4 linked regions of the Struthio camelus genome follow. The protein of the gene in region 3 interacts with the protein of the main gene of each other region in a biochemical or structural test. Links are inferred from orthologs where the notes say so. Each region holds a gene or a part of one and is shown on either strand. Other genes may lie near its edges. The genes, in order: TOPORS, SRSF1, TOP1 and NKX3-1.

The links.
Region 1: of the proteins of TOP1 (region 3) and TOPORS, one has a biochemical effect on the other in vitro, tested with the Homo sapiens proteins (2 studies listed by BioGRID). The link is inferred for Struthio camelus from reciprocal best matches to the Homo sapiens genes TOP1 and TOPORS.
Region 2: the proteins of TOP1 (region 3) and SRSF1 form a complex in vitro, tested with the Homo sapiens proteins (2 studies listed by BioGRID, with this or other methods). The link is inferred for Struthio camelus from reciprocal best matches to the Homo sapiens genes TOP1 and SRSF1.
Region 4: the proteins of TOP1 (region 3) and NKX3-1 form a complex in vitro, tested with the Homo sapiens proteins (2 studies listed by BioGRID and IntAct). The link is inferred for Struthio camelus from reciprocal best matches to the Homo sapiens genes TOP1 and NKX3-1.

Annotation. Positions count from the first base shown.
Region 1 is NC_090982.1:18,068,652-18,076,282, forward strand, and holds the start of TOPORS (E3 ubiquitin-protein ligase Topors), read left to right. Parts: upstream 1-4,617; 5' UTR 4,618-4,719; intron 4,720-6,082; 5' UTR 6,083-6,085; coding exon 6,086-7,631. Other genes in the region: sperm-associated antigen 4 protein-like, read left to right, coding at 314-426, 781-948, 1,293-1,382, 2,253-2,420. UniProt on the Homo sapiens protein: Functions as an E3 ubiquitin-protein ligase and as an E3 SUMO1-protein ligase. Probable tumor suppressor involved in cell growth, cell proliferation and apoptosis that regulates p53/TP53 stability through ubiquitin-dependent degradation.
Region 2 is NC_090957.1:20,532,548-20,540,249, forward strand, and holds the start of SRSF1 (serine/arginine-rich splicing factor 1), read left to right. Parts: upstream 1-4,677; 5' UTR 4,678-5,184; coding exon 5,185-5,378; intron 5,379-5,710; coding exon 5,711-5,895; intron 5,896-6,184; coding exon 6,185-6,357; intron 6,358-6,620; coding exon 6,621-6,815; 3' UTR 6,816-7,702. UniProt on the Homo sapiens protein: Plays a role in preventing exon skipping, ensuring the accuracy of splicing and regulating alternative splicing.
Region 3 is NC_090959.1:7,165,954-7,174,066, forward strand, and holds the start of TOP1 (DNA topoisomerase 1), read left to right. Parts: upstream 1-5,011; 5' UTR 5,012-5,538; coding exon 5,539-5,571; intron 5,572-6,141; coding exon 6,142-6,166; intron 6,167-8,113. UniProt on the Homo sapiens protein: Releases the supercoiling and torsional tension of DNA introduced during the DNA replication and transcription by transiently cleaving and rejoining one strand of the DNA duplex.
Region 4 is NC_090968.1:5,038,086-5,045,553, forward strand, and holds the start of NKX3-1 (homeobox protein Nkx-3.1), read left to right. Parts: upstream 1-4,450; 5' UTR 4,451-4,477; coding exon 4,478-4,859; intron 4,860-6,931; coding exon 6,932-7,314; 3' UTR 7,315-7,468. Other genes in the region: NKX2-6 (homeobox protein Nkx-2.6), read left to right, coding at 1-496.

The sequences.
Region 1 (7,631 bases), on a different chromosome or scaffold from region 3:
TCGACCAAAAGGGAATGGCTGCATTGTGCTCTGCTGTCCGGGCAGCAAGACCTGCGCTTTGCTCTGCCGTCGCTCCCACGCGGCTTTGCTGTCTGCCAGCACCTGCAGGGCTGTCTTTTCCTGCCGCTGCGAGAGACAAGCAGTGGCCAGGCCCAGGGAGCCCTCTTTGCCCTGGAGGGGCACCTAGGCACCAGCACGTGGGGTGCTGAGCGTGGCAGTGACAGACACAGCTGGCAGGCAGGCAGAGTTGGAAATGCCCTGCAAGCACCACGTCTGTGGGGTCTTGCAGTCAGCAGCTCCGTCTCCCCTTCAGGTGCCACCATCGATCTGCAGAGAACATCCAGCAGCTATGCGTGGGAAGAGAGTTGGCTCTGCAGGGCTTTTTGGTGCTTCTACTCTCCAAACCCTCCAGATACTATTTTGCAGGTATTGTAGCAGAAGTCATCCATGCTGCTTCAGTTCCTTCCTGGGCAGTGGGTGACAAAGCCCAGGGGATCTCCCCTCTGGCCAGCAGGGTTGCTCAAGGGCCTGGCGGTGATCAGGTTCCTGACACCAGAGGGTTGACTTGCTAGTCTCCCTCAGGAGCAGGACTCAACCGAACGGAACTGAGTGGCCGCATCCTGCCCACAATCCCTGGTCATAGCTGGCTGAGGGAGTTTCTCCTTCGAGGCCCATTTGCCTACCTCACCTCCGACAGGCCCTTTTCAGAGGGGCTGGGAGGTGGCGGAGGTGGCCTGCCTCGCTCCCTCACCATTCACTGCTGTGGCACTCTGCTTTCAGCCGGACGTTTCCCCGGGACAGTGCTGGCCTTTCCAAGGGTCGCAGGGCCAGGTGGTCATTTGGCTGCCTGCACGGATACAACCAACCGCCATCACCGTGCAGCACATCTACAAGGCAGTCTCTCCATCTGGGACCGTCAGCAGTGCCCCCCGGGATTTCACTGTCTCTGTAAGTCTCTGCTGGGCTGCAATGAGGCCGTGGGGAAAAGGCAGAGCAGGCACTCGCTTGTCTTGGGGCATCCGCTGGGGTTTGGGCCTTGCTCTCTCGTAAGCACTGCCCCAAGAGAATATTTCAAGGGACGGGGTGCTTTTCTCAAGACCTGCTCGGTGCTTTTTGGCCGTGCATCTCAGGGCAGTCAACCCCCCTCACGGAGGAGTCTCAGCTTCACACCATAACCTGTACTACACTACCGCTCGAGCCACGGGAGAGGGCCGGCGGGTAACAGGTCCGGATCCAGCGCGTGCGTTTCCCCGTCCTCAGGCGGAGCCTGACCCTTGTGCTTTGTCTCTCAGGGAGTGGACGAGGAGGGAGAAGAAGAAACTCTCCTTGGGACATTCACCTACGACGTGGGAAAAGAGGCCCTTCAGACCTTCCCCCTGAAGGTACAGTAAGTGCGTGTGGGCAGAGACCAGGCAGGAACGTGGCTGTGCCCGCACGTCCGTGGCAGAAAGAGCATCCACAGTTCCTCCCCGGGGGGCAGAGGGGCCAGACCCACAGCCGAGGCACAGCGGGGTCTGAAGGCGCACCAAGCAGTGCGCAGCGGTGGCAGCAAAACAAGAGCGAGGGCAGGGTCGCGCCCATGGGAGTGCAGGACCCTGGAGCTCCCAGGCTGCACCTGTGGCTTTCAGCAAAGCTGGTTGCACGCGGGGCCTTTCCATCAGCACGAAGCCTGCGTGCCGGACGGAAAGACAGACATCGGGCAGCGAAAGCCAGACGGCAGCTCCATCGAGCTGCGGCAGCACCTGGCAGCAGGGTGGACGGCTTCCCTGGGCTCTCGCTCCTGCCGGGAAGGCCAGCCGAGGAGGAACCGGCTGTTTGGAGGGGTTGATCACCCAGCTGCCCCACGTGCGGCAGCCCCGCACCAGCCTCTCTGCTAGCACACAGGAAGCAGCAGCGGGAAGGGGCAGCAGCAACGGGGACCGAGCCCAGCCAGGGCAGGCGGTGGCAGGCAGGACGCAGGCGCCTTCCCTCCGCAGCAGGACTTTCCCTGTGTTCCTGGCAGTCCTGCTGGCAGCCCGCCTCACACGGCCACAGCTGCTTTCACCCACTCTCGGAGGCCACGCACACGCCCAGAGCCGTCCTTTGCAGCCCTCGCTGCAGAGGGGAAGAGGGAGAGACAAGCTGTCCACCTCAACCAGGGCCACAGCTTGGCCCTTAACAGGGCCAGGGCTGGCAGAGGGAGGGCCCTGCGGTGTACTGTCCCTCTTTGCACCCCACTAACCACGTTTCTTCTTCCCACGACGTCTCTGCAGGAGGAGCTGTCCAGAGCCTTTCAATATATAAAGCTTTTTGTCCAGAGCAACTGGGGGAACCCGGAGTACACCTGCATTTATCGAGTGCAGGTGCACGGGAAGGTGGCAAGCCAGACCTCATCTCAGGAACCCAGAGACAGCCTGCGACCCCTCCTCAATAAGAATTAAAGACATGAACACAAGAACAGGCAGGCCCAGGCTAATGGCAGCGTCCAGCAGCACAGGAGCCCTGGGGGAAGGGCAGCCCCAAGGCAGCTCCCCGGCCCGGCCCGGCCCGGCCCGGCCCGGCCCGGCCCGGCCCGGGGTGCTGGCAGAGGCCGTGGTAGCGACAGGACCGGGGTACACAGCAAGGACCCAGGGTAAGAGCAAGGTGGGGAAGGGCAGGCAGGGGCCACCCCATGGTCCGGGGAAACAGCACGGCCCATAGTTTTACACAGCAGCCTGGGAGAGCAGCAGGGCAGGGGAAGACAGAAAAGCCGGGATAACGGCAGCCCCAGGGTCTCGGCAGACCCGGGGTAACAGCAGCCCCACCTAACAGCAACCCTAGTGTCAACGGCAGCTGTGCCCTAACGGCAGCCTCGCCAGCACCACGCTGATGGCGGCACCACCGTAAAGGCAGCTCTGTGTATCGGCCGCCCCCTCTCACAAAGCGCCACACTCTCCCGTGCAGTCAAATTCCCCGCGATTCCCAGCAAGCCTTGCCCAGCTCCTCCAGCTGCGCAAACTACAGCCAGAAGAGGGGCCGGACTTGGGGAGGAAAGGAGCACGTTTGTGCGGGGTGCGGGGAGCGGAGCACCTCTGCAAGGAGGTGCTCGGCACTGCTAGGCAGCTCTCCCAAAGCAAGAGCACGGGCGGTCGCTTCCCTTCGCCGCCCCCGCAGCCAAGGCAGAGGCTTCTCCCTCCGCAGAAGTGCGCACAGAGCGCGCCAGCGCCAGCGCCTGCGCTCCGCGGCAGCTGAAGCTTTCCCCTGTGGTTCGTGCTCTGCTGCTTGTGCTCGACACTCAGGGAAGCTGAAGTGCTGGTGGAAACCTGGCACTGCTGGTGCCAGCTGTGTACACGAGAGGACACTGGCCACGCTTTGTCCGACTGCACCTGGGCCAAGGCACTTCAGAGACCAGAGGAATCGCTCCAGCCACTTCTGAAGGAAGAACCTGGGGGGCATCGCTGCGGATGAAACCTTCATTTCCTCCTTCAGCAAAGCGATGCAGGATCTGCTCACATCCCAGCTAGCAATAAAGCTGGTTGACAGAAGACTCTCCATCCTCTTTCTTCCGACCCGGACACAACAGACGTCGCAGCCCTCTCAGGAATGCAGCACAGCCTAACCCTCCAGTCAAATTCCTCCTGCGGCTGTAGAACAGTCCTCTAAGTGACAGCCCTTACTGCTCCCCTCCGTGCTCCCGCACGCTCCTCGTCCCTGCTCAGTCCTAGAAAACACTCTCTTGGCTTTGGCCTTCAGGTGCAGTTTGTACTGGCTTCAGCACAGGCCACGAGCTCGGCACGCTTGGTGCCACGCCAACACCTCCTGAGCTCTTCTTGCTGCTCGGCCAACAGCCTGTGCGTCACCACCTCGCGGGACAGCTGTAGGAGGAGAGGCCGCGAATTAGCACAGCAGAGGCAGCATTCCCTGCGCACCAGCGGGCTGCTCTCTGGCCAGTCGTCCTCTGCACACACAGACAGAGGGACAGTTTGGGGAAAGGGAGCAGCCGCCCGCCAGGAAGGGAACGCTGGCAAACGCAGCAAAGGGAAGACGGGTGCCGCCGTACGCCGGCCAACGACAGCTGCCCGTGTTTGGCCAGGCCGCAAAGGCCGTGCAGACCCCGAAGACCCCTCGCGCGTGTCTCCAGCGGGCAGGCACGGCGCTGGAACCCCCCGCAGCCGCCTCCTCGGGGCCGAGGCAGCCTAAGGGGCCTCTCTCGGCCTCTGCCGCGGCGGCCCAGCGCGGCCGGTCCTGCTGCTGCCCGCGCGGCCCCGGCGCTCAGGCGCGGCGCAGACAGCTGCTGCACCAAGCGGCCTCGCTCCGCCGCGTCCCGCCGGGCAGCGGGGGCGCGAAGACGCCCAGTCCCTGATCCCGGCCGCTGGCAAGCGACGCCAAGCGGGAGCCCCGGCCCGGCCCGGCCCCCGCCGCTCCCGCCCGCCGACAAGATGTCGGCGCCGGCGGCCCCCGCGCGCCGGAAGTGACGCTGCCGCGGCGGCGCCCGTCTTCCGGCCCGGGGCTGCGCAGCGCCCGGCGCTGCCTCGCTGGCGGCGGGGTCCCCGGGGCAACGCGCTGCCGCCGCCGCCGCCGCCGCCGCCCATGTCCGAGCCGCGGCGCCGCCTGGGCGAGAGCGGCCGCCGCCGCCACCCCGCGGGGGACCCGCGCCGGGAGGCTGCCGGCCACTGCCCGCGGCGCCAGCGGCTGAATGCGGCGGCCGCGGCTGCGGCCCGGGGCCCGCGGCGGCGGGCGGCCGAGGAGGCCCCGGCGGCGGTGAGTGCGGCCGGGCCGGGCCGGGCCGGACCGGACCGGGGGTTGGCGCGCGGGGCGCTGCGGTCGGCGGGGGGAGGCGGGGAGGTGCGAATCCGTCTCTTTGGGACAGGTGTGCCGCGGGATCCCTTGTTAATGAGAACGTTGTTGGGAAAGAATGAGGAAACCGTCGCTGAAGTGTGAGGAGGGAGGGAGAGGGAGTCCTGCCTGGAGTCTTCGGAAATGCCGGCATGTTTCAAGTCCCAGTAAAAACTTGCAGCGCTTTAGATTCTGGTTGTGGTGGCAGAGGGAGGGAGGCCTGGAATTGCTTCCGTATTTTAAAAATTATCTGTTGATATGTGCATGAGTTAAATCGCAGCAATTCATGTATTAGTTTCAATTGGCAAGAATATCTTCATGGTTTCCACAAAAATCATAATTTGCTGTAACAGTACAGACTAAAGAACTTAGTGCAGGCATGCTGCTAGTGATCTTTTGTATGTATTTCGGGGGCTGCTTTATCTGACTGTCTACTTCTACCTACCAACCATAAATCTTACTAAGTGTGTCTGTTGCTTTTCCTGTTCATTTTTGATGCATCTTACTCTGTAGAGACCTTCCAGCAGAATAGAATACTCCAGCGCTGACTGCCAGGAGAACTGCCCCAAAGATACAGTGCCAGTCAGTTACCCATGTGCTTCATCCCTGAAGAGCTTTGTAGACAGAGTCTGCAGCAAAGAAAGAGCAAAACAGTACAGTGGGGAAAAGGTGTCATTAGTAAAAGAAGAATGTAGAGTTGAAAAGCAAAACAGTGGGCCTTTCTAAATGAGAAGAACAAACACCAGTGTCAGGACTGAATGTCTAAGAATGGGAAGAATATCAGTGTTTTGGGGGCCAGTACTGATCAGTTGCTGAGGTTTCTGGTATGTCCACCTCCATAAGTTAATAGCTATTTTAGGAGCGCTGAATACCTGGTAGCACAGGCTTCTGCCTTCCTCTAAAAGAGGTGGTGGTGCAAATGAGAACTTCCACTGAAAAACAGAGAGGACAGTTGTGCTCTTGCTAGGGAAGATAGCTTAGTTTTCTTCAATGGGCAGAGCAGGATTTCTAGAACTGCAGTTCCTAAGCCTGGTCAATTTTCAGGGTCATGCCTTCTTCTCTCTATCTTGGGAAAAAATTTAACCGTGACATCTAACTTCTTGAGGGAAGCAGTAGCCTGAGGAGAGGCCAGAAAAAGTAGTTATATCATTGTGGTTTTTTGTTTGACACCATATCGACCTTATGTTTTTTACAAACTAAAAGAAGGATAGCAGAGGTTTCTTTGTCTAGATATTCACATCCTTTCCTCTCAGGAAGGTAATGATCTTTTTGTGTTTGTCTTTTGTAGAACATGACTTCAGCAGAGTTTGCAGTGGATAGCAACTTTTCACCGAAAGCTAGCACAAGCAAGCTGCATCAGACAGTGCCAACAGATGCATCTCCTGACTCTAAATGCCCGATCTGTTTGGATAGATTCGACAATGTTGCGTATCTAGATCGTTGCTTGCATAAGTTTTGTTTCCGTTGTGTCCAGGAGTGGTCAAAAAACAAAGCAGAATGCCCACTCTGCAAACAACCTTTTCATTCTATTTTCCATACAGTTCGTGCTGAGGATGACTTTAAAGAGTACATACTCCGACCATCAGAAAATGGCTCTTTTGCCAGTCCTGATGGCCGGAGATTTCGTTATCGTACTACGTTGACAAGGGAACGTCGCACCTCATCTTACCATCGACACACTTCCTCTTCCCGAAGGACGCTGTCCCCTCCAGATAATGGAATATTGTTTGAAGGGTTATCAAGCCAACCAGTGCGGCAGAGAGATGGAGAGATTCAGCAGATGATAAGGAGGCTCGCCTCAAGGAGGCAGGCTAGTGCAGAAGGCAGATCTCTGCGGCAGATTCAGGAGGAGGACATGATCAACTTCCGCAGAGCTCTGTATCGCACTGGTGTGCGTGTTCGTAGTATTCAGGATGGTGGCCGCTATCGAGATATTTCAGCAGAGTTTTTTCGCCGGAACCCTGCTTGCCTTCACAGGTTGGTTCCCTGGTTGAAGCGGGAACTTACAGTCCTATTTGGTGCCCACGGATCTTTAGTTAATATTGTACAGCATATCATCATGAGTAATGTGACAAGGTATGATCTGGAAAGCCAGGCCTTTGCTGATGATTTAAAGCCGTTTTTGCTGAATCGGACTGAACATTTCCTACATGAATTTGTCAGTTTTGCCCGGTGTCCTTTTAATTTAGAGGCGTATGATCAGCATGCCAATTATGACTGTCCTGCTCCATCGTACGATGAAGGAAGCCACTCAGACTCATCAATTATTACAATATCTCCGGATGAAGCAGATTCTCAAGGTCCAGATCACAGTTCATCCGTGACTGGTATTGATCAAGCTCCGTGGGATGATGAAACTCCAGGGCCCTCATATTCCATCTCAGAAGAGGTTCATGCAACCATAGCTTCTCCTTTGGAGACTTCAGAAAGTTCTGATGAGGACTCTGCAACAAAGAGAACTGCAGTGCAAACCCAGATACAGGCTAATGCTGGTTCCAATGACAGTGACTCTTCTTCAGACAATTGTGTTATTGTTGGGTATGTTAAGCCTATAGCTGAGAGGACACCAGAACTGGTTGAGTTGTCTTCGGACTCTGAGGAATCAGTCAAGGAAGAGAAAAGGGAAAATATCAAGAAACAGCAGCCAATCCAGTTTCACAGTTGCAGTGACAGTGAACAAAGCCCGAGTTCCTCACCACACTCTCCTATGTATAACGAGAACCTAGGTAGCTGTAAAAGCTGCTCATCCCCTGCAGCCGAGAAGATGGAGTCAAAAGAGGATGAGGACAAAAGTAAAATAAAAAATTTATCTCCACAGGAATTGATCTGGAGCCCCT
Region 2 (7,702 bases), on a different chromosome or scaffold from region 3:
CTGCCCTAAATGCAGTGATTTAAATTCAGATGGAGTTACGGACAGCAAATGCCAGTCTGTCCAGCATTCTCTTCTGGGCTGGCTTTTCTTGTTTAAGTCTCTGTACCTACGTTTGTTCTTTCAGGCTGGCTTTCAGCAACAATTCACACAGTCGAAATGCATCGTGATATCGCAAGCCACGTGCTTGTGCACTTTTTTACCTTATGTATGAACCTAAATAAATAAAATGAGCTCTACCATCATCCACATTTAGGGGAAATATTTTCAAACCTGCACATATTTTCATTATCTTACCAAGATACTCAAATTTTGTCTGAACAATAAATAACTCCTTCAGTTTCTCTCACTTCCGAAATAGCTACTTAGGTTCTCTCCAATAAAAGTAAAAAATGCAAAATGTAGTCTGATGTTTTAACCACTTGCATTCTCCAAAATAAGGGGAGGTTTTGGCCCCCTCTCCTCGTTTCAAATAATGAGCCACTCTTATTAAAATCTACTTGGGCAGAAAATAGACTCCTCAAGGTCCCATTTAATCTTTCATTTCAGAGCACTCCTTTTATTCCACTGGAAAACACTACTGCCATCCTTCTATGCCCCCCTACACCACAGATCTTGGCATGAAAGACTAGTGGACCCTACTCACGTTCTTACCAACATTGCTGTGGAAAACTAGTGACCTATACTCTCAAAAAAAGAAAATAAATCCTGCCAAACACTAAGCATTGTCACTTTGGGGAAATACTTGAGTCTCAAGAAGATGAGATCTCAAAATCCCACAGAACTGCTCCATGTTACCAGCTCTGCCCTGTTCTATGCAAAGAAACATGAAAAAAATCTTGAAAAACTATACTTTAAATAAATCTTACAAGTAGTCCAAATTAGATTTTCTTCCCGAGGTATCTATCCCAAGTACTACTGTGTATATGCACCAGAACAGCAGTCTGAATAATCATTTTCACACTCTGCACGCTCCCATTCAATAGAGTATTTTTAACCAGTATAAAGAAAACTTTTCCTCAATAACATTTTTATGTACCAATGAACATCCATTGACGAGAAATCACGGACAAAATCAACTAATATGTTTTTGAAACTTTTTTGCACATGCAAATTAATAACACTGATGACAATGAAATCATTCGGCACTGTTTAAAATTGAAGGCCCCTCCAAATATTAACTTTATATTTCAAGCTCCAAAGACAGGATCCATGCATTTCAGTATCTGAGCTTTGATAAACTTATTTTACAACAAAGTAAGATTACTCAAGACTAATCCCAGCTGGACCTGACAGTACTAAGGAGGCTGCCAGTGACTTAGGAAAAACAGGTTCTCACTGACATAGCAAGAGAAGCTGCGAAGGTCACGAAACCGGCCACTCCGAACTGCTACCGAAGCGGTCAGGCGCCGCCTACGCTCGGGGCCGCGAGCTGTGTTCCCTGCTCTGTCGCTAGCTCTCTTAGGTGGTCTTGGGAAAATCGCTCTGCTTCCGACGCCTCGGCTTCACCGCACATGACAATGAATAATGACCCCATTATAAAGCGTTTTAGTATTTTGCATAAAAAGACCCACCTCAGGCATTGGCACGGTTATGCGAAAAAGAGTGAGAGTGCATGTTAACACAATGGGAAGACTTCTGAGAACGAGGGAGAGAGAAAGGAAAGCTGTGAGAACGGCAGAAAGAGCTAAAGCAAACGTGCTATTTTTCTTTCTGTATACGAGAGGGCCTACAGCAGACTAAGAAGCAATTATAACAAATCGTACTGTAGCGTACCTCTATCTGGCAAGCTAGGTACGTGCAGATACTCCTGATACTGGGTTACACGGTTAATATTTGCTTTACTGATCAATATGCTCAAATTGAAAGCCATGCTTTACATTACTCTCATTTTGAAAACTAAAGCCTGTTATTCCACAGTAGTCCGTTTTTTTACAAGATTATTTGCCATTCCCCTCCTGGTAATTTATTTTCTACATAATTAATAACGTTTAATGATTCTCCACAAGCACACTTTGCCAGAAAGCCAAAAGTGACTCTGACAAAGCAAACATGTTTTGCAGCTTATCCAACTGTTTTAAAGCTATCTGTTGGTAACACAAAGCTAAAAATGCAATGAGGAAGAAAATAATCAATAATTCTATAAAGAGACACTTCATTATGGTAATTAAGGCAATGATTTAAAGTAGTTATGAGGATGATTAACACACAAAAGAAATTATGCAATAGGGTTTTAGCAAACCAGGCAGACTTACTACTATTTTATGATGCCTTACAGAGTAACTTTCAGCAATTTAATAAGCTTTTGAAAATAAAGACTAATTTCTTGTCTCTATACCTGGAAAGAGTATATTCTCAGTTTGGGGGGGGGAATTTTTTTAAGTATGCATTAAGTATTTCTACTGATTTGGTAAATGACTAAATTAGCTTGTCAAGTTATGCTGGTTCAAAAGATGTATTTACCAAGAGTACCCAGTGAACTTACGTACGTGGCCTAGAACCACATGGGTACTACAGTCACTGCTTCATCAGTTCATATTCTGGTAGAGTTGTGAAACGGTAATATTCTGTAAAGATGTAGAAAATGTCCAGATAGTGGGTAGTTTACACTCAGAGAAACCACCGCTTCTGAAGATGGGCTTTCTTTTAACATCTTTCAGTGATTAATAGCAGTCTTTTATCTAAACCACTAGCAATCTAACGTAGTTATTACCAATGTTAAAAATCATTAGAGTAGAACATATTACTGTACTTTAACCTACATGAGAGAGAAATGAAAGGCATTCATAATAGTCAAACGCATTACAACATCATACTGGAAATATTTTTCTAAGTCATTAGGACCGCTGTTTTCTAGAGGAATATGCATTTGCAATTAGTACATGAAAAATGAAGTATGCATGACAGACACTACTAAAGAGGCATGACACATTTTTCAAAATCCCCTAATTAACTCAGGAGCCTAAAGGGTTTTTCTGCATATTCACATACTATTTTAACCCTACCACTGTAGTTACAGTGATACAACCTTCCCTGCACCATGTGGACTTGCTTGAGCTGTTATGGAAGATACTACAGAAAGATAAATAAGGGACACGCAGCCTAGCGTTTGTAACAGTACAACTATCTCAGCTGCTTTTTAGGTCTCCCTCCCACACCTGATACAGCGTGTAGACCAAACGAAGAATCTCGTTTCAAAAGCAGTTTGTGATGTGAACTCCGAGCAGCGAAGCGTGGGCAAAACAAAAAGTCAGGGTGGGTTATGGCGAGGTGGGAACGTACCAGGGAACAGCTGCTGCGCTGTAAGGGTTTGCATGCACGCTCTACGCCCTACGCAACGCACAGAAACGTGCACTGTTTACTGAGGGTGCGCTAGTTCGCTTGACCCAGGAGAAAGACTGTGCCCACAGCTACTCGCCAGAAAGTGATGGCCTCCTCCAGCAGTAACACCTTCCTCAGTTTATATTCTTGGACACACTCTTAACAAGAGTGAGACGCAATACCTTTGAGAACCGGACACATTTTCTAAGGTACTTTTGAAATGGAGGCTTGAGATTTCACGTCATTTTATCTGCAGCCTTCCGAAAACCTGCATGCCAACACAGCCTTAAACATCAAGGAGGGACTGCTGGCCAAAACAGTATTATGTTTTTAAACTGAAGTTTGGGTCATCTCCTCCCATCCTCCCTAGTAAGCAGCAGTTTGTACGCTGAACAGTAACACCCACTGCTTTAATAGCTCTTTCAGGACTTTGTGACATACTAGAATATATTGGTCTTTAAAAACGACTTTACGTGCATGACAATCACAGGAACATAATAGTGCTATACATTTTTTTCTTGCTTCTTCTATAGGACTTTATTTTCTGCCCTCCCTTGCATGCATTTCTCATGCATCATAATCTCAAAGCATCCTCATTTGAGACCTACAGTTCCCTGTCTCCCAAATGCTTTTTTGGCTCCTTCGCTTTTTAAAATTCATGCAGACTACAAAGTCAGGCACATCTTTTAAGGTCTGTTTTGTCCCTCTTGCTTTGATCCTCAAACTTATAACACTGGGGCTTTGATGGCTGATTCTTAAGAGGCAGCTGTCCTTCCAGAACAGGATAGCAATCAGTGGGCACTCTGAAGAATGTCGAATTTAGAAAGGGGAAGGCTGCAGGGACCAGTTAGTAAAAAAAAAAAAAAGAAAGAAAGAAAGAAAGAAAAAAATCAGCCCCAAGCTGACTGAACCCCAAGTTCTGACTGGATTCCCCCTCCCCAGGACCGGTGAGGACGGTGCTCTCAGGGCCGAGGGCTGCAGCCGGGCCGGGCCCAGCCCCGCTCCTCATCCCCGGCAGGCCTCCTGCACTGCCTCGGGGCGGCCATTTTACCTCGGGGCAGCGCAGCGCTCTGCCCCTCGGGCAAGCGCCGCTCAGCCCCGCCGGCAAGACCCCCCTGGCTGGACCCCCCGGGCCGGGGCACCCCCAGCCCCGCTCCCCGCGGCCGGGAGGCCAGGCCAGGCCCGGCGCGGCCCCGCCGAGGCCCGCGGCCTCCCCACCGCCGCTGCGCCGCGCCCCGCCGCCCCCCACCCCGGCCGCCGCTGTGCATTGTGGGACACAGCCCGCGCCTTGGCGCCAAGCGCCCCCGCCGCTCCCCGCGCGGTGCACTGTGGGACGGGCCCCTCCCCTGCCCCCAGCCGGGCCTTCTTTGCGTGGACTCCGCACCGGATGTGACGCCACCGGCCTGCCGCCGTGATAAGCGCGGCCGTTGAAGGGGCTCTTGCCCCAAACGCGGGGAGCCGGGGCTCCCTGAGGAAGGATTTAGCTCGCCGCAGCCCTCCCACCGGGAGCTGCGCTGCCGGGACTGGCCCGGCTTCTTAGCTGTAATCGCCGAGAGCCAAAAAAAAAAAAAAAATAGCGGGACTACTTTTTCCTGCCGCGCATGCGCAGGAGGGCGGGGTGGGAGCGCGGCGGCGGGAGACGCGGGCTCGGCCGCACTTGTGGTGGTAAAGGCGGTGCTGCGTCCCGGGGTGAAATCGCTGCGCGCAGTAGGACCGCGAGGGAAGCCGTGGTCGCCATTTTGAAGCGGTTGTTGGGGGAGGCGGCGTGTGTGCGCTCCCGTGTGCCCGGCTCGGCCCCCGCGCTCGCCGACCCGTCCGCTCGCTGAGCTCCGGCTCTCCACCGCCGCAGCCATTGCTGACCTTGCCATGTCCGGAGGGGGCGTGATTCGCGGCCCAGCCGGCAACAACGACTGCCGCATCTACGTGGGGAACCTGCCCCCCGACATCCGCACCAAGGACATCGAGGACGTGTTCTACAAGTACGGCGCCATCCGCGACATCGACCTCAAGAACCGCCGCGGCGGGCCGCCCTTCGCCTTCGTGGAGTTCGAGGACCCCAGGTGAGGCCCCCGCCGGCCCTGCCGTTGGGGTAGGGGGGGTGGGGGGCCCCCCGCGTGTGCCCACCCGCGGCCTGCTGGGGAAGGGAGAACCGCGACGTTTCCCGACCCCCCCCCCCCACAGCCGCCCCAGCGATCCGGGGCACCCGCCGGAGCCCTAACGGCCTCCCCCGTGCTCTCCCCCCGCTCCGTGGGGCGGCCGCGGCCCGCGCGGGGGGAGGGCGGGGTGGGGCCGGCGGGAAGCGGGAACAAAGGCGGGGGGGGGCGGTGCGTGGGCAGGGCGCGGCGGGTTGGGCGCGCTGCGGTCGGCGCTCACCGCCCGTCCCGGCCCGCAGGGACGCGGAGGACGCCGTCTACGGGCGGGACGGCTACGATTACGATGGGTATCGCCTCCGCGTGGAGTTCCCTCGGAGCGGCCGGGGCACCGGCAGAGGCGGTGGCGGCGGCGGAGGGGGTGGCGCCCCCCGGGGCAGGTATGGCCCCCCGTCCCGGCGCTCGGAGTACAGAGTGATCGTCTCGGGTGAGTCCTTTCTCTCTTTCTCTAGTTAACGCGTTTCCCCCGGGGGTCCTCGAGGCGGCTTCGCAGCGCCTGGTTTCCGTGCGGAGCCATGCCGTTCCTGCAGCTTTTTCCCCCCCTTAAAAAGCATCCCCCTCGGGTATTCTGGAAGCAGTGTTCACAGCTTCTCAAGGCAGCCTTTCTCCTTACTGAATAGTTTGTCTCACCTGTTGTGGCATGCTATTGTATCTAATATCTAATACTGTATGATAATGTAGTTCATTTTTCAAGTAATGTATTGCCTTTTATTCAGGGCTGCCTCCAAGTGGAAGTTGGCAGGATTTAAAGGATCACATGCGTGAAGCAGGTGATGTATGTTATGCTGATGTTTTCCGAGATGGCACTGGTGTCGTGGAGTTTGTACGGAAGGAAGATATGACCTACGCTGTGCGAAAACTGGATAACACTAAATTTAGATCTCATGAGGTAGGTTTCATGCTTATTTTTGGGCCAGAATTGGATACAAAGGGCTTAACGATAGGATTTGAAGGTAAGGATGTGTGGTTGCCATTGTACTAATACGCAAAGCATGTAAGCTAAGCCCGTAGTCAGTTTGTCGTAAAATAGACTTTAAAGACTTGATGTCTATTTCTGTGCTTTGGTAAACAATATCTTCAGTCTGTCAGCATGCCTAAAAAGATGGCCGTAAAGCCTAGACCCTTCAATCGAAAGTTCTGTCTATTCAATAGGGAGAAACTGCCTACATCCGTGTTAAAGTTGATGGTCCAAGAAGTCCAAGCTATGGAAGATCTCGGTCACGCAGCCGTAGTCGTAGCAGAAGCCGTAGTCGAAGCAACAGCAGAAGCCGCAGTTATTCCCCAAGAAGAAGCAGAGGATCTCCACGCTACTCTCCCCGTCACAGCAGATCCCGTTCTCGTACATAAATGATCACTAGCAATGATCTTTTTGTAGAACCCCGTGTTGTACACAGTTTTCCTTTACTCAGTACAGTCTTTCATTTTTTAATTCAAACTGTTTTATTCAAATTGGCTGAAGTGTTGAATTGCATTCTTGTGTAAAATCCCTAGTGAGTATTTGCTCCTTAACATCAACATTCCCCTCATGTCTTTGGTAAATTGTATTTTAATTGATGTCAGTCAGGATTGTTTCAATTTAGTTATAGTTAACTACCAACATTCTTCAAACTGTGGTATTGCTGTGTAAATGTCTCAGTGTTCGGCTATGGTTTATACAAGCTGGGGATGTTGGGATGTTTGTGGCTAACTTGTCTCTTCTGGGGGATCTTATATTTTATCTTGCCTTTTCGTGTGTCTTTCTGTAGACATATCTGAAGAGATGGATTAAGAATGCTTTGGATTAAAGGATTGTGGAGCACATGTCAATCATTTTAGGATTGTCAAAAGGAGGATTGAGGAGGATCAGATCAATAATGGAGGCAATGGTATGACTCCAAGTGCTATTGTCACAGATGAAATTGGCAGTATTGACCTTATACTGAGAGACAGGTTAATTGAGTACATGCACCTACTTGTCACTTCTTCAGGCATGTTTTAGTTCCCGCAGACTACAATTGCTCTTTTCTTTAAAACTTTTTTGGCAATTGTGGCTAAATACTTGCTTTTGTAATTCTCTATTCCATTCTAGTTTTTTAAAGGAATAAACCGGGACGGGGTGGGAGTACTGGTTTACTTTGTCATGCAGCATTTGGTTACAAGTGTTAATGTTATGTAGTATTTGTACACTTGTAGATAAAGGGTACCTTCAAATCAGATAGAGTATAATATCAATACTGCTAAAATCTGCATGTCCT
Region 3 (8,113 bases):
GACATTTCTCAATGCAGTAAAACTAGGAGGACTGGCTGAAGCAAGGTGCTGCTTACAGGTTTCTTGCTGCTTCCTCAAGCAGGAGAATAGCTTCTATTTGCTAATAGAAGGGAGGCAATGTGGCATAGGGGAATATAGGTACATGACTGTATTCCATGTAAGGCAATAGTCATATAGCAAGGTACATGTTCCTATGTATGTTAACTGGCTCAGTGAGAAAATGCATGTTATTTACTCCTTAGAAAATGATCCAAAAGTTCTTCTTTTAATCCCCTTTTTATACTGCATACCAACCTTTGCAACACTCCTGGCTTCATTAACCTCAGCAAATGATGGCACCAAACACAACCTTTCTCACAATACAGCACAACTGATACAGCTAGTATTTTCTAACTAATAATTTCTGGGATTTTTGCAAGCTTCTCCCTTTGCAGGTGAAACTCAGTAATTAAGACTGACCTTTGAAAGCTACCACTCACAATGATATCTGCTGCTTCTGCTTAATTTGCTCCCCTGTTGCACATATAAAACTGTGAATAATTGCTATGGTTTATTAAAGCAGAAAATAAAAAGCCCTCAAACCACTGAGATCATCCTGTTTCAAAACATTCAACAGCACATAATAGGTATGAACGTTTTGAGCAAGTTATCCTAATAAAAAATGAGGGGAGTCAGATATCTGCCTGTTCCTATTTTGTACAAGTGTCACTCTGATCTAGTGATAACAGGTCTTCAGGATTATACTGATCTGGAATCCTGCACATCAAGCAGGTCTCTCTGGTTGTGGAAAAATTGTAGACTAGTAATATAGGTATCCTAACTAAAGCTTTTATAAATGATGAATTAGGACTCAAAAATCATGACAGCATCTTAAAAATGAGATTTTGGGGGGTTTAAATGTCTCGTAACTGTTCTTTCACTACATCCTCAGCTGGTAGAAAGCACTGCTTTCGTATTCAGAAGAACCATAAAACATGAAGGTTAGAAACCTGTTGCTGCCTCTAAATAAATGTTGAGATTATTATGAAACAACATCAAGGAAAACAAAACAAGCAAATTTGGACATCCTGGGACTGCTAATAACATCAGAGGAGTTGGCAGCATTGTGTCTCTTCCTGCCCTCTGAATGAGGGTCAAAGACCTGAACTTCTGATAATGGAATCAAAAGTAACAAATAACTGTATATAATCACAAACTTGCTTTGCATTGAAACTTACTTTGTTATGTAATGCATTTTAAGTTGAATATAAAAGGGAATTAATACAAGCAACATTGCAAACAGCTTCTCATGTGGCTAAAGGCAAGGTAATGGTTCCGAAAGAGGGCTACAGAGGGTCCAGGGTTTTGGATGTATAGATTTCATGTCCTGCATGGATCCTAGAGCCTCACTTTTTGTATTTACTTTCAGCTTCTTAGCCCTGAAACAGCAGAGTCTGAGCTAGTTCCTACCTGCTCCAGTGTTCCTGGCTGGGGCTGGCAAGTGACCTACTCTGAGTAGTAAACTGTTGTCGAATAGCCCCACTTGCACCCATCTCCATCCCAAGGCCTAGCAAAGGTGACAGGCCGAAACTGCCGCCCCATATCCTGCATGGAAAGCTGGCGAGTGAACAACCCAGAAGTACAGGCAAGCCTCGACCCAGCTGAGTTGCTCTGGTCTGAGGCGCCAAGGTTGCCCTGGAGCCCGTGCCCTCTGATGCCCAGGGCGGGCGGGCAGGCAGGAGCCCCACTTCTGCTGCGTTCACGGGGGGCGGTGCCCACCCTGCAGCCAAAGCCCAGTGCAGCCTTTGAGGTGACCTTTGGTAAACCCTTTGCAGATGCCCTTGAAAGCCAGGGATCCAACCACAGAGCGAAGGACACGAGTTTGGGGAAGCTGTTTGTCTCCTGAAGTCACTGCTCCAGCTTTTAGAAAGAAGCACTGCAGAAGTGGAGGCTGCAACCACAGTGCAGCCACAAGCCTGGTCCGGCAAGGGGATTTCCTGCACTTACAGATCTCTTCTGCGCGCAGCGTGGGGACACAGGCTGGAGCTCAAGTAGGATTCTACCCTGATTCACTGTGTCGGCTGCAAAGCTGGTCAGGAGAAAGGCACCCGCCTCCCTCTCCCCAAATGGGCACCCTGAGTCTGTTCACAGCAAGAAGCCCCAAGTTCACCAAATCAATCAAATCTCACAGTTCGCCAGAACTGGAGGGTTTCCTGCAGATTTTATATTCAGGATGATTTATGATTTAATTTAAACATGTAGTTTCCAGACGTTTCTTTTTGCAAGCAATCACCTAGGCTACATTAACCTGATGGTGATGTACTGCCATCCCAGGGAGCCCTCAGAGAGAGCGAGCCAGACAACAGCACTCAGAGGTGTGAACTTCCCCCATTTATCTTCATGGGGTGTGCAGTCTTGCCAGGGAAGCAAGCCTAATCATGTTAACCCCCTCACTGCCAGCCTCTGCCACTGAAAGGCCCAGCTATATGGCAGTATGTCCTGTATGGGCCTTTTCCCTCCTTTGCTTGGATCGTTCCTAGCAACAACAGACGCAAGCTTCGCATGAAGCGGGTGTAAACAGTCCGTGGGGGGTTTGCGGTTACGCTCATCAAGATGAGCTACAGATTCCTGGAACGCCACAGTGCAGGTTGCAGGTTTGCAGAGTGTCTTGAAAGCTTTTTTTCCCTCCCTCCATACAGTTTGTTGCAACAGATGCAGCCACAGAAGTGTTACAGTTGAATACACCTTTGAACAAGTTATAAATTCTCCCTGCATCCCATGGGAGACAGAAGACAAAAAGCAGCAGATGGGAAATGATCCTTGGGAGACTCTTGCATCTGGTTTGGATATGGTCATCTCTGCCTAAGGTTTGCTTCATCCTATGTGCAGTATTCACAACAGTGGCACAAGGTTTTTCTTGTCACCACATGGGAATGGTCCTTATTAGGGCCAGAGCTAACAACCTGGGAAGGTCCCTATTGCATTCAGAGCTGTGGTATCTGGCTGTCAGCTGTCTCTCACAGAAAATGCAGCTCTGAGCCTCCTGTGCCACTTGAGGGGTTTCCCTTTTGCAACCAGAAGGGTGTTTGCAAGTGCCTCTGAAGATGGCAGCTGCTCAAAAAGATAGTGATCCTTTCCTCTGAACAGGGCTAGTTGCAGCTGCAGAGCAGTGCAGCTGGTCCTTCCCTTGTGAGAGAGCAAGGACACCTGAGCAAGGCTTCTCGGGGAAGATGCAAAATGAAGTTGCTGCTTCAAGAGAAAGGGCTTTTAGGAATTTCTAATGCCCAGAGCTCGAGGTACCAGACCATTCCCAAGCTGTCCCACATCAGAGGACACAACTGCTCGCTGGTTTCCCTTACACCTCTGCGTGGCAGCAAGGATGGACGAGCACCTTAGGCTGCTCCAAAAGCAGAGACCCCTTCTCTTTTTGCAAGCTAGGGACAAACAGGAGAGGTGTCTCTTAAACAGCCTTTTCATTATGTTTATACTTAAAAATCTTACGGTGACTAAAGCAGTTTGCATAATAAACAGCTCTAGAGCCAGAAATACTTGCCTGCCCTCAGTAAAAAAAGGAAGTCCTCAGATCCTCTTCTGAAGACAGCAAGAAAGTGACAGAGTTTTCCCTTTACAGGATATAAATATGCAGTGCAAATAGGTGGCTGCTGTCGCTGCTTACATTTTGATGTATCGCTTCTGATAGCCTGGCAGTGCTGGATTATTTTAGTGTCAAATCAAAGCCCTGGTTGTATAAAGAAGCCGGGGAAAGGTAAAGCCTGTGCTGCAGCACTGGATGGAAGCTCCAAGAAGACTGGAGGCAGTCCTGTGAGACATGTACCAGCCGTGCATACTAAACCTGCCATTCAGCACACCAGAGAGAAAGCCCCTTTAGTAGACCTGCTGCAGACCTGAAATAGACGTCTTCAGATTTGGGGCTGCGGAGGGCATTTTGGTTTGTTTTTGTAGTGAGGCACATGATTCATTCTCATATTAGCTAAAAGAAAAGAAAGCGTTTGTTTTGTTTTTCCCCTCAGTTTCCTCATGAGAGAAAACATTTAAGGGGCTGTTTACATAAGAAGAAAAATCTTGCTGACTGATTCTTTTTTAAAGCAGAAAGCTGCCATTTGCACCACACCGTTGCTCACTGTCCTTGCCTTTAATCTCAGCTCAAATCCACCCTGTCTGCATGCCTGCTCAGCGTCATTTTTATCTGGACACAGGACACCTGTACAGCACCTAGCACACAGTAATCTTTTTATGGCTACCGCGGCCTCCGAGTTCCACCCCGATACAAACGCGTAGTCAGACTAATAATGAAAGGTCAGCCTCACGCTTAGCCTCTCTACAGGGCAGATGCGCACAGCAAGCACAGCTCGCTTCCTGCCAAAAGGAACTGACAGCCGTCTCATTTTGAAACGCTCAAACTCAAACCACACACATCAGACCACTTATGCTCCCGCAGGGTTTGCAGGAGCGTGCCGTGGACGGGCTGGCGGAGTTCCTCCCGCGGAGGACCGGACTAAGAGACAGGCCAGCCAGGCCCCAAAAGCCATCGGCGGCGCTTCCAGAGGGAAGACGCACACCGCGCGGAGCCGCCCGGCCGGGACGACGCCTTGGGCGTGTGCGCAGGCCGCAGCCGCCGCGCCGGGCGCGGGCTGGGCCGGCGGGAGCGGAGCCGGGAGCCCAAACCGGCCCCGGCGGCAGAGCCGCGGCCTGCCAGGCCTGGCGAGGCGCAGGGCAGGCCCCACGCCGCCCCCGAGGACATCCAGCCACCGGGCGCTGTAACGGGAGTCCCGCGAGGCCCGGCAGGGCGCTCGCGCTGTAACGGCGTCGGTCACCGGGGGCGCTGCGGAGGGGAAGGGCTCCCTCGGCCCGCGGGGCGGCCGCCGGCCCGCTCCCCTCCTCCTGCCGCCAGGGCGCCGCCATCTCCCCCGGTCGACCCCCCCAGGGGCGGGGCCTGCGCCGCGAGGGGCGGGGCGTCGTATGCAAATAGAGCGCGGCTGCCCGCAGGGTGCCACGGGGGGCGCACGCGCATTCCGCGCTCAGTGGGGAACGGGTCCTTACACAATGCGCCGGGTTCCCTCAACGGTGTTGGAGGGGGCGCGAAGCAGCGGGGCGGGGTCGGGTATGCAAATGTTGCTTGCTTCCGTCGCGCGATTGGAAGGGCGGGAGGAAGAGGCGGGACCGGATATGTAAAGAGAGAGCCGGCGTTCAGCGCGCGCGCGCGCGTGGGAGGGGGGGAGGAGGGCAGTGGGGCGGGGCCTGCGTATGCAAATGTAGCCGGCGTCTCGCGCGCGCGGTGGGGCGTGGCTCGGGTGCAAACGCCCGGGCGGCCGTTTCCCGGCTCCCGCCCCAACGCTCTCGCTAACGTTCCCGTGGCCACGCCCCGCCGCTAAAAGGCGCCGCGCCTGCGCAGTGCGCGGAAATAAGGACTTAGTCTGTTACACAACCGGCGGCGGGGCCAGGGGGCTGCGCTCTCCCGTCGCGTTCAGGCTCCGCGCTTCCCCGGCGGCTCGGCTCTCCTCTCCGCTGCGCTCCGCTAGGCCTCCGGCGCCTTCCGGCATGAGCGGCGACCATCTGCACAACGACTCCCAGGTGAGAGCGCCCTCCGCCCCGGCGGGGAGCCCCGCTCCCCGGGGGCGCCCTGCCGCGGGGCCCTTCGCTCCCCTCAGGGTCGGCGCGGCGGGCCCGGCTGGAGCCCTCCCCTCCCCCTCCCACCGCCTTGCCCTCAGCCGGGCGGCGCTGCCCTCCTGCCGCCCCTCAGCCGGGGCCCCCCCGCGGCCCCGGGGAGAGCCCTGTCAAGCCGGGCTGCCCCCGCCGTGGCGGGGCGCCGCCGCCGTTTGTGCCCAGGCGGAGGTGGGGTGGGGGAAGGGACTCGTGAGCGGCCCCCTGCCGGCAGGAGGGGAGGGGGCTGGCGGGGGCACCCCGGAGCCGTGCGGGTGCCGGGGGGCAGCTTCCTGCCGCCCGCCGCGGAGGGCACTCGTGCGGCGGGCTGGTTATTTCTCGCTTGTTGTCCACTTTTCCTAAAAATGAGAATTAAGCGGGTGGGGAGGGGGGAGAGAAACCCCCGCGCGCCCCTTCTTCCCCCTAAAGTGGGGGGGGGAAAAAAACCCGTGCCGGGACGGTGTTTTCACGGTGTGTCTCCCTGTCTCCCCTCTCCCGCAGATCGAGGCGGATTTCCGAGCGAACGGTGAGTGAGGCCGCGCCGGCCGCGCACAGACATGGCGTCCCAGAGACTAAGTCCCGGCTCCTCGCTCACCGGCCCCATTGTTCCCATCGAGCCGCCCAAAGCGCCCCTTTGCCGGGGGCCTCGGCCCCCCCCGGCCCCCTCTTCCCCTAGAGGGGGCTGCGGAGGCCCCCGATCCGCGCCCATCGGCCCTCCCGGGGGTCCCTTTGGGCCCCGTTCCTCCCTGGAAAGTCGCCTTGTCGACGGTCGGGACTTAGTCTCTGCGCCATTTTCTTTTTCTCCTCTCTGCTGTGTGGCTTTCTCTGCTTCTCCTCCTCCCTGAGCTGCCGAAAAGGAGCCTCCCGCAGAGGAACCCGGCACCGATCCCCGGCCCACGGCCCCTTCTGAGCAGGCACAAAAGCAAAGTTTTTAGCTAAAATAAACCCCCGAGCTGGTTTTTATCGCAGCCTCCCTCTCCCCCCCCTCTACTGCTCCCCTGCTCTGTTCCTTTCAGGGAATCCCTCCCTTCCCCTAAAATGAAAGGTGATTGCAACATGTTGCTCTTTAAAAGATTCTGCTGCATCCATTTTAAGATCACTCTTATTTCATTCCTTGCTGTTTAATTGATGTAACTTTACATTTTGGGGTGGGGCTTTTTAATTAAAAAAAAGCAAAGATTAAAAAAAGATAATATAGACAATTCCAGAAAGGTAGACAGCATCACTTCAGAAAGTTTGCAAGTTGACTCTTTGTTTTGGTTAGAAAGGTTATATACATACACATATGTGTGTCTATATGTATACATAATTATGTTTTTTAAGAAGCTTGACAGCTACCGACTTTTTTTTTTTTTTTGAGTGTTGCTGCATTTTTCCAGGAAGCAAATTCTTTTCCCCCCAGCCTGGTACATGGCAGATTTGGGGGGAGGAGGAGGTAAAAACCTACCTTTGCATGCGTGTGTTATTGTCCTACTGATGGGGTTGTCTGAGGAGCTCAGAGCTGTCCCCTAACTGTTGAGGTGGTAGAGGACAAAAAGGTTTGAAGAGAAGATACCTTAGCTTGGCTAAATGCATTCTTACAGCAATACTGATTTTCAGCACACCTTTCTGCACAATGTCTGTGTGCCTGGTTGCTTTGCAAGCTACTGCACGTAAATATTTACAGATCCCTGTTTGTGTGCTCCTCTCTTTCTCTTATCCATTCATTGATGTGATTGTGTATGTACAATAGGAGCATGCGGTTTCAAATCTATAGCTTTTAAACTTTTCTTTCTACTCTGAAGCTACAGTAGGGCTCTATGAATAATCCTTAGCAGAAGAAAGGGAGGAAGTGGAGTTCCCTGAAAATGCAGTAGGAATTCTTGAAACAACTTAAATGCAAGCATGTATTTGAATACTTGTAGCCTTATGCTGGGAAATATTTGCCAAAGGGTCACTGCTATTTCGGGAAAAGTAACCCCTGAAAAGCTTCAACTACTTACTGGTTTAAACAGGGGAAGTGATGCTTGTTCAACTATTCCATTCCAACTTCTAGTGAACATCTTAGGAGGGTTTTTTTCTCCTTCATTATAACTATATGCTGCTTTATTCTTAGGACGGTTTTAGGCATACAGCGCTTAAAACTCCTTCAATTCTGACTTCTACTATGTGTTGGAGGAAGTCATTACACAGATGTAAAGTAAGACATCTAGATGGAAAAAGTGTGTTACTGGTGAATCAAACACACCGAACAAGTTCATACCAGTTTAGGTATCAGCGCTCTTTTCTTCCTATTGTATTTGCCCATTGAATTTATTTTTATGGCTGTCATGAAACATCATTGTGGCTGATCAGAGGCTCCTAAAATCCAAAATCCTCTTCAGTGATGAAAGCTGTGTGTAACCCTTTTAGTTTTGTAAGGGAATAATGATGAGTAGACACTGTCCTCTCTGACCTTGGGCCAAGACTGATATTCCTGAAAACCTGTCACCTC
Region 4 (7,468 bases), on a different chromosome or scaffold from region 3:
CCAAGCTCAGGTGTTTGAACTGGAAAGGCTGTTTAAGCAGCAGAAATACCTCTCCGCTCCGGAAAGGGAACACCTCGCCAGCCTGCTCCAACTCACCTCCACGCAGGTGAAAATCTGGTTCCAGAACAGGCGCTACAAGTGCAAGAGGCAAAGGCAGGATAAGTCCCTGGAGCTGGCTGCCCAGCCGCCGCCGCCGCCGCGGAGGGTGGCCGTGCCGGTGCTGGTCCGGGACGGCAAACCCTGCCTGGGGGGCTCCCCGCCTTACTCGGCCCCGTACAGCGTGGCCGCCGGCCCTTACGCCTACAGCACCTACTACAGCACCTATAGCTGCAGCCCCTACGGCGCTAACTACGGCTACGCCGGGGGGCTGCCGGCACCCACCGACACGGCTCCCGCCAGCCGCGTCGCCAACACGAGCTTTGGGGTGGCCAGCGCAGCCCCAAACCAGCCCCCGCACTTGCAAGCCGTGGTGCAAGCGGGGATCAGGGCTTGGTAAGCGGCCGCGGGAGCCAGGATGGCGCCGCGGGAGCCGCCGCGGCACGGCTTTCCCCGGGAGGGGAGCAGTCCGGGGCCTCCGGGGGTTTCTGCCACCCGGGGCGGTCGGACGTGCCCTGCGTGTCCCCGCCGGGCCACGGCGGGTCGGGAGAGCGGGCCGCTCGCCTTCCTCACTGCGGCTTTGGGGACCGAACGACCGCAGGTGCTTATTTATTTGAGGACAACGGGCCCGGAGCCTGGCCCTTCCCGCTCCCACCGGGGTTTGCTCCTTGGGGACGCCAGCGGGCAGCGCTGGGAAAGCTGCTCTTCTTCTAAGGCGACCGGAAAACAGGGTCTGTGCGCATCACTGTGCCTTTGCTTTTTTAATGAACACTGTATTTAATGCTTAGAGTTTCTCTTTAATCTTCTGAGATATATTTCTGATTTATATTTCTTAATATCTTCCCAGCACCGATTTTCATTTTTGTTGATATTATTATTACTATTTACAATTAAAAAAAAAAAATTGGTGAAAATGTGCGTTTTCCCTCTCTCATCGCTCTTCAAAACCTAAGGTTTTGACTTTTCCCAGCCACAATTTGCATCTGAGTGCCAGAATCTGATCCAAAGCCAACACGGAAATCCATCTGAACACTAACAAATGACCCAGAAAGGATATTGCCCAGCGGTCCAAGCACTGCAGCTCCCAAAGTTTAACCTCTGTTGGTGAGTTCCCCCCTCTCTAAACCCTGGCAAGTCTTTTAAGGTCCCGGTTGCTATTTCCTTATTGGTAAAACAGCTCAATATCTGCTTAACAGCTGATCTGGGTGCCCCAGATCCGCATCTGGCTCTATAGGCATCAAGCCTTTTGATGGGTAAAAGGAATACATATACATTCTGTACACACACACATACGCACACATATGCACACACCCTTGTACGTGTAATGCTGAAGAGCCGCATGGCCTTGCACGGGGCGAGGGCTGGGGCTTCACAACCCCGACTTCTGCGCTGGCGTCGGGGCCGGGGAACGGGAGACGCGCTCCAGAGAGCCACCCTTGCCGTTTCGATTGTTTTGCAGAGAATTTTTTCAGGCGACTCTTCCCGTCGCAGCGTGGGCTTTGCCTTACCTTTCTTTTTTTTTTTTTATTAGTTCATATGCTTTTTGAAAGGAAAAACCCACTGCTCGAATGATTACTTTTCCTGCCCATCACAACGCCCAGGCAGGAACTAGGATCCCAGCAGCGTCACTGTTACTAAACCCCGACGCTTCCAGCCTCGCCGTGAGAGCAGCAGGGCAGGCACGGTCCTACAGGCCGCTTCTCCTGCCACGAGTTTGTGAGGCCTCTCTCAGAGCACCTGCAGCTGCCGGCGTTAGCGGGCGCTGCAGGAGGCATCAAAGGGGAGCACAGCCGATACCCTGCACAAGCGGGATGAATCCGTGAGTTACACTTGCTCAACTACCCTGTTAAGGCTATTTTGAGAGCTTGGCCACGAGGGGCTGCATTTCCCAAGGACTTTGGCCTGCACAGGGCGAATCGGAGCTGCTGCAGCCCATCGCGCCTTGCAGAAGCAGGACACGCTGAGGAGCCGCTGCCTCCTTCCTCGTCCCCCTCTCTTCCTGCCGCCTTCTTACCCTCCAGGAGAGGCTGGCAGGAGGCCACTGAGGTTTTACCGCACACGGCCCCATCACTCCAGCTTTCGCTCGCTTCCCCGACGGGCCGTACCTGACATCCAAACCAAAGGAGAGAAACCTGCTCGCGCCCCCGCCGCGGACGCCAAGGGAGAGCCAGCGCAGCCAGCAGCATTTCCAGCACCGGGGCTGAAGCGCGAGTTTAACAGCGCCGAGCACGCCCGGGTTTTTTTGCGTTGAGGTTCGACAGCAAAACGAGGCAAGAGCAAGAGGCTCCAGGCTTGTGCTGGAAAATAAGAAATTATTCTGCCCACATTAGAAATTACCCACTCTGCCAGCCACTACAAAACCGGGAAGATCTGTCCCAAACACGCCTCCCCCCCCCAAACCGGCCAACCTTTGCGTGGCCAGCCGCAGGGGGCTTGCACGAGGCGAGAAACGGCCGCGGAGGGGTGTTGCAGCAAGGGGCTGCAAGCGCAGCATCCCTGGCCACGGCCGGCCGCCAGAGCCCGTCCCGGACGCCTGCTACTGCTCACACCGAGGGCTGCAACGGGGCGAAAACGGGCCTGGCCGAAAAAGTGCCGTGCAGCCAGGCGCGAGGGGTCGAGCAGGCGGATAGGAGCGGCGCTAAGAGCTACGGCAAAGCTGTCGCTGCAAAGCCGCGGTGTAGCAGAGCAGCCCCGCGATACCCCGATGCCCCTGGAGAGGGGCAAACAGCCCAGCTGCAGGCACAGAAACCCTCCAGCTACGTCTTCTGCTCACACGCTTGTGCGGCTGCCTAAAAGCCCAAGTGCTCCGGCGCGCAGCGGGGGAGCGTGCACCGAGCTCCTAACGTCTGCGGCACCTGGGAAACAACCAAACGCCCCTACTGCACCTATTGCAACCTTCGTCCTCTCAGAGGTTGAAACAGCAACGGTGACGGCACGAAAGGACGGAGCTGAGCAAGGGGACAGAAGTAGCCGGCTCCGAAATGAGGCACAGAGCTCGCGCAGCGCTGCGCCCGCAAGGCACGGGGGCATCGGCCGCACGGTCCTGCCCGTGAGCCCTGAAGCATGGCTGACTTCGCTGCAGCTCCTGGTGCAGGTTGTGTCTTCTGGCCCTCTTTGCAAGGCAGCCGGTGGGCTTCGGAGGGTCTCGCTCCTTGCTTTGCCGGCGCTCGCCGGCTGGCTGTCAGCTCCGCTGCGACACAGGTAAGGATGCCTGCCAACGTCGCCTACGGGGCCCAGGGGGTGCTGCCGCGAGCGAACGCGCTTCCCGGGGGACACGGTCCCAGGGCCAAATCCTGCTCTGCCCGGGGGCGTCCCCCCCCGGCTCGCTTGGCCTCGCTTTGCCGTGATTTTTTTTTTTTTAAAAAATCACGTGCTGGACACGTTTGCGGATGTGGCTAGGGATTTTACGTGCAGAAGGGGAATTTGTCGTGAAAACAGAAACTCTAGGAGTCTGACGCATCGACGGCACGTAGAGCGCGGGTGCTGAGGAAGGGGCAGGCGCGACACAGAGGGGGCGACCGGGGCGGCGCGGTCCGGCCGTCCCCGTCCCGCTGGGCGCCCTGGAGCCCGGGGCCTCGCCGGGGCCGCGGCTTCTTACGCAAACGCTGTCCCAGGCTACAGGTGGCTGAGGTCTCGCGCTAAAATTATGCTTAATTTTTCATGCTAACGCCGCCGGGGGCCCCTTCCTGTGCAAGCGAGCGAGACCTCTGCCTCCGATCTGCTCTCCCGCTCCATCGTGCCTTAATCCGCATCCTGAAGCCCCTTCACAAAGATAGATGAGGGGGTCTTTAACATCTTTTTCTCCTTTTTTAAACAAACTGAAAGTTCAAAGTGAAAGTTTTGGAAGGAAACCCTCAAAACCTAGATAAGAAGAAGCTTTTTCCTCTTTTTTTTTTTTTTTTTAACCCTCTTAAAACTCAGCATTCCCACGGAGCTCTAGGGCCGGCCCGGAGGACACGCAGCACCTCCCCAGCTGGGAGCAGGCAGCGCGCGGCCGGCCCGGGCTGGAGGACGGCATCGTCCCGGGACGGGAACGCCGCCCCGGCGCCCCAAAACCCCGTCCGCAGCGATGCTCCGGCTGCCGGGAAGGAGGCAGCGGCTCAGGGTTATTCCAACCGCCGGCGCCGGGAGCGCGAAAGCTCCGGGGGGATCGGGAGGCGGCGGCGGTGGCTGGGATGCGCCGCGCTGCGGGGCCGGCCGCAGCATCCCGGGCAGCGGGAGAGCTCCCGGGAGCCGAGCCGGCGGCGCAGGGCGTAGGCTCCCGCCGGGATCTCCAATCAGGCCCGGGAGGCTTGGCTGCCGGCTGTATAAACGCGGCGCCGGGCGGGCGGGCGGCCAGAGCGCTCCGGGCAGGGCGAGGAGGAGGAGGAGGAAGAGGAGGATGAGCGCCGGGGTGCTGCCTCCAGGGAGGCCGGGAGCCCCCGGCAGTGCCGAGGCGGTGGGAGGCCAGCGGCACCCCGGGGACCCCAACCCGGCCCGGCGGCAGCCGGCAGCGGGGCCGAGCCCCACGCGGGGCCGGCAGACCATGCCCGTCCTCTCCAGGCCTCTGACATCCTTCCTCATCCAAGACATCCTGCGGGACGGAGCCGAGCGGCGGGAGCTGGACGAGAGCCAGGGCCGCGGCGGTGCCGGCGGCCGAGGGCTGGGGGAGCCGGGGGCGGCCGAGGGCCGCGAGCGCCGCTCGGCTCCCGGGGGTGCCGCCGGGGACCCCGGCCTGAGCCCTCGACCCGAGGCAGCGTCGCCGCCCCGCCAGCCCCACGCAGGTAAGGGCAGCAGCCTCGGCCGGGCCGCGAGCCAGCGTCGGCGGCGCGCAGCTCGCCGGAGGGGCGTAGCGTCGGGGCAGGATCCCAGCTGCGCCCAGCACCGAGCCCCGGAGCCAGACTACCGGGGCGTTCGAGGATATCCGTGCTTTAGCTGCGGGAAAGCAACCTGGGCATCAAAGACCATCCCCGCTTCCACCGTGGGAAACTCAGAGGAAGAGCAGCCGGGCGCGTAGCTTTAGCCAGGCTCTTCCAGTAGCGCCCGGTACCGATGCTGCCTAAAACTCTGCTGGAAAAAGCCCGCTCGAAGGATTTCTGTGCGATCTTGGCGGAACTTAGTTCCCTTTTAATTCAGACCCCCCCCGCCCCCGTCAAAGACGTAGCTTGTGCCTCAGCTTTTACGCCGCCTTCGGCGCGGCGATGCAGCCGCAGCGGGCGTGCGATGCCTCCGGTGCAGCCACGCTTTGAAGTTCTCCGTGTTGCATTTATGCCCTTTGCCGTGGGGCTGCTTTCCTGGGGGCTCAGCACCGCTCCCAGCACCCTGCACCTCGCCGTGTCCCTGCCCGTCACTGACACGAAGCCGCTCTGGCGTTTTTATTAATCTTTCTAGCATTGACCCGCTAAATTCACTGGTCAGAATAACATTTCGCTGCAGAACTCACATACCGAAAAAAATCACATGCAGAAGCAATTTGTTGAATGGTGCCTCTGGCGCACCAAGAGCCCAAGGGCAGAGGGAGCCCCGGGCAGGGGATCGGCGTTTCCCGTCCTGCAGCGCCCCGGGCGAGCGGGCCGGGTGCTGGGCTTGGACGGCCAAAAGCAACGCTGAGCTCTCCAGCGACCGCCTCGCGCTCGCTAGCGGAGACCTTGCCAGGGGAATTTTGGCTTTGCGTTTCGATGCTATTAAAAGAAGCTGCTGCACAGAGCAAATTCGGAAACATTCACCAGGCTGGTTATTAAGAAAAATCATTAAGCCCCCAAACCAGCTCTTGCAGAATGGAGCTGGTGCCGAGCAGCACCGCTCTGGGGATTTCAGCGGGACTGGGATGATTTACACAAGCTGGGAATTAAGCCCATTGTTTCTATCTTAGGCATTATGTTCACATCTTAAGAAAATATACTAAGAAATAACCAAAGAAGAACTTGGCCTATTTCCATAGCAAGCTGAGTAATACACCAACAGGAACTAACTCCATAAATAAATTGACTTAAAAAGTTTTGATAGTTGCAGGTGACACTTCCCAGGGGCAGGAAGAACACGTCCACTTGTATTTTTGATCCTCCAAGGCATCTTTCAGGCTATGGTTTTTTGGTAAAAAGAGCCCACAGCTGAGAAATGGAGGTGAGCCACTAGCTCTGCGGCGCTCTGCGCGAGCTGTGTGCGCTCAGCACCTTCCCGGATCACAGCTCGAGTGACTGAGCGATGCCGCGGGAAACAAGCCCGAGGCAAATCCCGGGCTGCTGCTTTGGCACTCCGGCTGTGGTCCGAGTCCAGCTCTGCGGCTGCGTACGATGCAGTCAAGCCGGTCCTGAAGATTTAGAAAGCCTCGAGACAGCGCCCCAAAACTTCCTGGCATTGCCGCGCGGTCGGGAACAAGAGGGAAGAGGGGAGTCGCTTTCAGTGCTTTCTAATTGCAGGCGGGTTTAAGCTGCACTGATTTTACGTTTCTGAGCTAGAGTTTAAGGAGAGGAACATACTTTTTTGTGGAGGCCGGGATCTTCCCGTAGGCACAGGCGAGGGGACTTTGCAAAGAAGTGCCCGGCATCGCGAGCTCTGCAGCAAAACCCCCAGAGCCGCCAATGCCGTAACAGTACCTGGGAGCGTCAGGCGGGCCTCACCCGCGTGGCAAAATGCCCCTCACTGCGTTTTTCTTTTTTTCCCCCACTAAATATTTACTTATATGAATTAAGAATCTATGATATTAGGGGGAAAAAAAGAAAAAAACCTTAGGCAACTTAATGCACTGCTCCACTAACTAAAAAGTGGCAATATGAATATTTTGTGCTTTTGGAGGGGGGAGGAAGAGTAATTTGGGCAACTTGCAGAGGGTAATTCTCACCTCTTTGCTGGGCAGCGGCGGCGGCGGAGGAGCCCTGCGCGTCGGAGCGCGAGAGCCCGCCGGGCGCCCCGCGCTGCCCTCCGCGGACCCCCCGGCAGCAGAAGCGCTCCCGCGCCGCCTTCTCCCACAGCCAGGTCGTCGAGCTGGAGCGGAAATTCAGCCACCAGAAGTACCTGTCGGCCCCGGAGCGCGCCCACCTGGCCCGGCACCTGCAGCTCACCGAGACCCAGGTGAAGATCTGGTTCCAGAACAGGAGGTACAAAACCAAGAGGAAAGAGCTGGCGGCCGAGCTGCGCGGACTGGCCAAGCCGCCGGCCGGCCCGCTGCCCCTCGCCGGCGCCTGCCGCTACCTCCCCTGCCTCTCCTACCTGAGCGCCTGCAGTCCCTCCTGGTGGTGAGCGCGGCCCCCTTGCCTCTTAAACAGTTTTTTTTTTTTTAATGCTGTGTTGCTTTTTCTCATACTAATTGGGGATGGGGGTGGGGGGTGGGAAAAAGGCGCTTCTGACTTGGTTCACAGCAACGCTCGGCGCCTAGCTGCCATGCGAGCCTTTC